Linked DNA regions of Callithrix jacchus. The protein of the gene in region 1 interacts with the protein of each later gene in a biochemical or structural test. Links are inferred from orthologs where the notes say so. Each region holds a gene or a part of one and is shown on either strand. Other genes may lie near its edges.

The links.
Region 2: the proteins of ZEB1 (region 1) and USP51 form a complex in vitro, tested with the Homo sapiens proteins (2 studies listed by BioGRID). The link is inferred for Callithrix jacchus from reciprocal best matches to the Homo sapiens genes ZEB1 and USP51.

What each region holds. Positions count from the first base shown.
Region 1 is NC_133508.1:31,108,314-31,112,902, forward strand, and holds the start of ZEB1 (zinc finger E-box-binding homeobox 1), read left to right. Parts: upstream 1-1,690; 5' UTR 1,691-1,709; coding exon 1,710-1,767; exon of another isoform or gene 1,768-4,001; coding exon of another isoform or gene 4,002-4,008; intron 4,009-4,111; exon of another isoform or gene 4,112-4,310; coding exon of another isoform or gene 4,311-4,326; intron 4,327-4,450; exon of another isoform or gene 4,451-4,558; intron 4,559-4,589. UniProt on the Homo sapiens protein: Acts as a transcriptional repressor. Inhibits interleukin-2 (IL-2) gene expression. Enhances or represses the promoter activity of the ATP1A1 gene depending on the quantity of cDNA and on the cell type.
Region 2 is NC_133524.1:55,843,286-55,845,847, reverse strand, and holds part of USP51 (ubiquitin carboxyl-terminal hydrolase 51), read left to right. Parts: coding exon 1-434; 3' UTR 435-2,562.

The DNA.
Region 1 (4,589 bases):
TGATTCTAGTTTTGGCACTGAGGATGAGTGCAGATACATAGACATAATGCATAGCAAAGAATATTTACAGTTACATTTCAGGACCGAGAAATAATGCATTTACTTCTCAAAATGCCCAAGAAAATGTGGGAGAGAAAATGTTCATCTATATTCAAGATTAAACTTTCTAACTTTAAATCACCAGACTTCAGTTGTAAATTTATTTCAGTTGAAAGGTTTGAAGACATTATTAATGAATATCCTAAAATTCCAGAAGGTGGTTAAATTTTAACCTAATAAAAAAAAATCCTGCCATAGAGGTGGCAAAAATTATAAGCATAAATTTATTGAGCACCTACTATGAGCTAGGTGATTTACTAGTTATTTCCAATACTCTGGCCACTTTTCCGTTTTCTCAATTTCTCTATCAATAAACTCCTACATTGTTAATTTATATTACTTGAAATACAGATCAGCTCATTTATTCCATAAAGTTGGTCCCAAGGACGTTTCCTTATTCTAAGGAGGTGGGAAGCAGGAAGAGAAACCTAAATCTACATTCTACTGAATACTGAAGACGACTTTCTTGATATTTGTGGTATTATCTGCATGGTCTTTCAGAAATCCCCAAACTTACACCAAGGACTTAAGATAAAATCAGCAATCTATCGGGCTCAGAGACCACATCTGTCAGCTGTTGTTTCTTGCCTGAAATATCGTCCTGAACGGCGATGACCCCTCATTTAGGAAGGAAATCATGGCCTGTGAATACCTTAGCTCTGAGTCCTGCCACCCAGGATCCCAGGGGTCTACGAGAGGAGGAGGGAGGAGAGCGAGGACCGGGTGGGGGAGGCCGAGGTGACAGCAGGTGAGAGCCGGGTGCGGATGGGGAAGTGAGACAGGCACCGTGTGGGTATTACTCATTCCGCTCTGCTAACGAGGCTGCTGGCAAGCGGAACTTCTCGCCTCTTTTTCAGTCCAGCTGAACTTCAATCTCATTGAAGTCAATTCCCATCACGGTTCGCTCGCAGGGAAACCGTGCGTCCCTAAGGGAAGGGAGTCCGGGCTGCGTGGGTCAGGTAGCCTGTCTCCGGGCGCCGCGTGTCCTCGGCGTCCCCAAACCTGCCCTTCCCCTCATCAAGGGAAGTCCCCGGGGAGTCCAGACCACGTTCCCTTTCCTTGGCCCCGGGGTGAGCGGAGCAGACACGCGAGGCGTGGGACTGATGGCAGCCCTACCTCCAGGAAGCAGGCAGGCGGGGACCTCGGGGCGCTGGAAGGGGCAGCTCCGAGGGCACAGGATCCACGGGAAAAGCTGCCAGATCCCTCCCTGCCCCGGGAAGCGGGTGTGGTCAGCGCGGAGGCAGGACGCCGCGGAGCCTCCAACTTTACCTTTCCAACTGCGACAGCCCGTGGCCCTTCAGACCACGTCCCCACGGTTTCCCAACACCCGCCTCTCCCTCGCCCCACCACACCTGAGGAAAACTTTTCCCTCGCCCCTCAATTCAAACTCAGCAGTGCCCACGGTTGCCGCAAACTGCCCGGTCCTTAGCAACAAGGTTCCGGCCGTAGAGCGAGCGCCTCTAGGTGTAAGGAAGGTGATGTCGTAAAGCCGCGAGTGTCGTAAACCAGGTGCGGTGGGGAGGGGGGAGGGGTGGAGGCGGAGGGGTGGGGGGGAAGGGGGAGGGAGGGGGAGGAGGTGACTCGAGCATTTAGACACAAGCGAGAGGATCATGGCGGATGGCCCCAGGTGTAAGCGCAGAAAGCAGGCGAACCCGCGGCGCAATAACGGTAAGTGGCGGAGGGGACCGGGGAGCGGCGGAGTCAGGGGGAGCCGGGTAGCCGGGGCGCCCCCGGAGGTGAGGGGGGCGAGCCGAGCTGGGGGCGGCCGGGGCAGGGACGGCAAAGTGGAGTGGGAAAGTAGAAAGTAGTGCTCTCTGCCCCCCTCCGCTGCCGACGCTGCCGGAGCCGCGCCGCGGCCGCTCGCTCTCCCTGAACCGTTATGTCTCTTACCTGGTCTCTCTCCGCCTAGCGGCTCCCGCCGCCCCTGCCGCCTCCCTGGACCGTTAGCCGCCGCCGCCGCCGCCGCCGCATCCCCGGCGCAGGGCGGGCGGCCGGGACGCGCCGGCCACTTTTCTGGTCCCGGGTGGAGCGGCTGTTGCTTCTTTCCTCACTTTTCCCCACTCTTGTGCCCTTCGGCGCCTCCCTCTCCCCCTCCTCCCGGCCCCCTCAGTGGGATTCTCCCTCAGCGCCCAGGCCCCCGGGAGCCGCGGAACAAACTTGTGCCCGGCGCTGACCGTGCAAAGTGGCTTCCGCGCGCCGCGGCCCCGGCCGGCGCCTTCGCTCGGGCCCCGCCACTCGGGCCGGGTTGTGGGCGCGCGGCGGGCGGTGGCGGGACGGGGCGGCCACGGGCTGCGTGGGGTCTGTGCGCGCGTGTGCGCGGGCGCCGGCGGTGCGCGCCGCGGGCTGACGGGGCTCGGCCGGCGGCGGTAAAGTTGGGACCGGCGGGCCGGGCGCGCTCGCGGAACGGGGATTAGAGGCGCGGGGGCGCGGGTCCCTAAGCGCCCCTCCTCCCCGGCGCCTCCCGCCGCCCGGCCCAGCGCCCCGGCCTGGGGACTCTGCGGCGACCCCCACGAGTGGGGTACATGTTTGGCGGGGCGGCGCGGGGACAGGACAGGCAGTGCACCCAGTTAACGCCGCCAGGAGCTGCGCGGATGGCGGCGAGCTGGGCGGCGGGTGTGTTTGCGGAGTTGTTACCTGGTTAGGGACAGGGAAGCACCACAGACAGATCCCCCTCCCCGGGCAGACGCGGTCTCCGCCCCAGGATGGGCTGGTGTGCGTGCGCCTCGAGCTTTTCTCTTTCGGTTTTTGGGGAAGTTGTTACCTGGGCCGGACGCACGGAGCGCTGAAGCCGGATAATAGGGCTTGGATGGCGCTCTGGGTCTCGGGTGGAAGGAGGGTGGGGGAGGGGGCGGACGGACCGACGGACGCGCGGGGCTGCTGCTCGCGCGGCAGCTGCGGTGTTTATTGATTTGTGCTGCTGTGCCAGGGAAACACACCCCTCTGCCTGGCGTGAGAGTTAAAAAAAAAAAAAAAAAAGCGAGGGAGAGAGAGACAGCCCGAGGGATCGAGAACCGAACATGTGGTGGTGGTTGCACAGTCGCCTTTTCCAGTTTGGAGAGACGTTGTAAGTTGATTGTATTTCTGTTTATCTGGGGGCGATGCTGTGCTTTCTCTCCCTCTCGTGCAGCAGCGAAATGTCTGCTGATTGTTATTGTCTGGACAGTTCCTGTGGCGAGAGGGGCGAGACTTGTCCGCCCGGGGGCGGCGGGAGCTCCGGGAGAGCAGCCCCCGCCTGCGCCGCCCCGGTACCTGTTTGTATAATAATGGGCGGCAAACGGCCCTGCAGCCGGCCGCAGCCCAGGCTATATAAGGAATTACACGTACATTTCGGACCGAGGGGCTCGCTTCGGTTCCTGCGTTCTTTTTAAAACGACTTGTAAGAGAAGGGGAATAAATGCGTCTATAATGGGACCGCTGCAGCGTCGAGAAAACGAGGAAATAACGTGTTTAGGAGAAAACTCTCTCCTGCTCACCCCCACCCCGCCCCACCCCCGCGCCTGAGCTCCCTTTCTCCCTCCCCTCTGGGATGCGAAACGCGAGGTTTTGTAACCTTTCCTAGCAATTTTAGATTTTGTGTGGGATTTCCTGTCTAGAAGCAGATACGAAGATTTTAAAGCTGTTTCAAGACGTTTCCTTCCAATTCGTAAACATATTTTTAATATATTCGAGCCGACATTAAAATTACTGCTTTTATGAGTGATTTTAATTATTCATATAAACACTTGCATTTTAAAGACGTCTATTGATTATGATCGAAAGGTATTTTGGTATCCTCATTGTGGAGAGATGAGTTATTATAGCAAGGAGTGGAGCATAGGCTATTGCAATTTTAATTTCCTGTTTTAGCGTCAAATAGTGTGTGTTCTATATTGAGCTTTTACCGCTCTTGCTGATGTGGCTTTATGAAAGGTAAGTTGATTCGGAAAGGACTGTTCGCTTTTTACCTTATTTAAAATGTTGATCGCCAGAGAAAGGGGCTTTTCTTGTTGCTGACGACATGTGTGTGACATGTGAGTCTGAACCACCCAGTGTCTGTGCAGCTGCTGTAAACATGTTTACCTGAACAGGAAAGAATGGATTTTTCTCCTTAAGATCCTGTGATATGAATATTACGCTCGTAAGGCATATCAACAGATGACTTAAGGGGGAAAAGCGATCCTGAAAGGTACTTGAAATCAACAGGAAAGAGAGGTTCTTGATCGCTGCAGCAAATGGCAACTTGTGCAGGTAGAAAAAAGATGGTGTTTAGTTTTCTCCTGCATGTATGTCAGCCCCCTCCTGTCTGCTGCTTTCATTCTCCAGGGAGGGATTTATTTACCACGCTTTCTGTCAGTGTTTTTCCTTTGTGTTTAATATTAGAAAAACAGATTTGCGGCTGTTTAGCACAAAACGTCTTGTCTGCAGTATGCATTACTCTCAGAAAACAAAAGGTGTTAAAGATAGCACTGTACTACTACAGGTATCTTCCATTTTCATCACTTTTGGCTCTG
Region 2 (2,562 bases), on another chromosome or scaffold:
TCAAATGCAATAGTTGCCAAAGCTACCAGGAGTCTACTAAACAGCTCACAATGAAAAAATTACCCATTGTGGCTTGTTTTCATCTCAAGCGGTTTGAACATGTAGGCAAACAGAGGCGAAAGATTAATACCTTTATCTCCTTTCCCTTGGAGCTTGATATGACTCCATTTTTGGCCTCTACTAAAGAGAGCAGAATGAAAGAAGGCCAGCCACCAACAGATTGTGTGCCCAATGAGAATAAGTATTCCTTGTTTGCAGTGATTAATCACCATGGAACTTTGGAAAGTGGCCACTATACCAGCTTTATCCGGCAACAAAAGGACCAGTGGTTCAGCTGTGATGATGCCATCATCACCAAGGCTACCATTGAGGACTTACTCTACAGTGAAGGGTATTTACTGTTCTATCACAAACAGGGCCTAGAGAAAGACTAGTTTTACCAGACCACTTACTGAAAAAAAAGTAAATGATTAGGCAAGTATTTGAAGTGACACACAAACCTACTTGGAATGGACAACGATAATAACACCTTTATGACAGGTAGTATCTTGATGTAAAGAACCTGTTTTAGCATGGCTCATGGGTATGTAGGAAGGAAAAAATGAATACTAACCAGTGACCTTTCAACCTTCAGAAATGAGGAGAGGGAGAAGAGGTTGAAAATGGTCTCATAAAGCATAATCAAATGAAAAGAATGCCTTAGGTGGGGAGAAAAGGAGTAGAGGTGTTCTGATGCTACTATATGTCATTTGTTTCTACAGAAATACCATGTGAAGTCAAAGTATTCCTTTATCAGCAAAAACTTCACAATTGGTGTTCCAGCTGTGGCTGGCCAGCCAAATAGTTTGAAAGAAAAATACTATTTTAAAATAAAATTTAAAAAGCTTTAAAAGAAAAACATTTAAAAAGGAAAAAAAATCATTTATAAAGTTTGAAAAAATTTTTAAATGTTGAAAAAATTTGAGTTGATATTTTTAAAAAATATTTTAAAAATTAAAAATAATTTTTTAATTTAAAGAAGTTTCAGAATTTTAAAAATTAAAAGCAAATGAAATTAAGAAATTCTTAAAGTTTAAAAATGTAAAATAGATTAAACAAGGAACAAGGTTAAAAATAAAAGTTTACCAAAAAATGAAAAAAATACTGTTAAAAATTAACGAGAAAAAAGGAACATCTTAAAACTTAAAAGTTTCAAATGAAGGAAAATAATATAAATAGATATGTCAAAATTAAAGCATAAAATATGCATATTTAAAAAGTTAACAAAATTATTACTGTAATGATTAAGAAATAAATTTTCAAAAATACAGAATGGAATGCAATTCAAATTTTAGAGAAAAGTTTTAAAGGAGGAAAGTTTAAAATAATTCGAGACAAAAAGACAAAATTTGTTTAAAGACAAAAATTGAAAAAAAGTAGGAAGAAAATGCTTGTGAAATAAGAACTTTACATAAGTTCAATTCAGGAGATTTAAATGAAAATTTAAAATATTTAATTAAAGATTCTAAAATATAAACTTAAAACAGTTACATAAAAATTGACAAATGAAAAAATGTAAAACAAGTAGAAAAATATTAAAATGAAAAGTTTAAAAGGTTCTATTTTTTTATTTAAGCATATTAAAATACAGACGGGTATGAAAGAAATAAATGGAGGAGACAGGAATAATAAGACGGGGTATGTCAGCATATATATTTTTGAGCTTTATGTTGATATATCAATATAATTTGCAAAAGGAAATAGACATTTTAATCATTATCTTACCATTATTTTGTGAGATGGCTGCAAGGCCTAAACACTAACCCACCTTCCCCTCTGAGATTCTTTTTTTTTGAGACAGAGTTTTGCTCTTGTTACCCAGGCTGGAGTGCAATGGTGCGATCTCGGCTCACCGCAACCTCCGCCTCCTGGGTTCAGGCAATTCTCCTGCCTCAGCCTCCTGAGTAGCTGGGATTACAGGCACACGCCACCATGCCCAGCTAATTTTTTGTATTTTTAGTAGAGACGGGGTTTCACCATGTTGACCAGCATGGTCTCGATCTCTTGACCTCGTGATCCACCCGCCTCGGCCTCCCAAAGTGCTGGGATTACAGGCTTGAGCCACCGCGCCCGGCCCCCCTCAGAGATTCTATGCCCCATCTCATATCCTGAAGGAAGTTAAATTACTTCCTAGGCATAATCAATTCATCTGAGAAAAATGAAAACATTAGGGACTTTCACATTTAGAACTGCATTATTCATACAAATTCTTAGCTTCTGAAAAGGGGTTCTTGATAATTTGGTGTCTTAGAGAAATTAGCTCACAGCTGTGAAGCTCTGGCTTTTGTATTTGAGCCCCATGGCCTGATTGAGGAAGTGGCAGGGACCCATATCTGAGGCCCTCCCTCCCACCCTCCTTTTTAGCCTTTAATTTCCGTAGTAGAGTTATGGGTTTGTGCTTGGAGTCCTTCTGCTCATTCGTTATTCCTTCTTTATTTCCTTTTTTCGTCACTCATGCCTAGTTTCCTGAACCCCTCACTTACCTGGCCTTACCTACATCTCTGAGCCCTAGCCTGTAGGGCT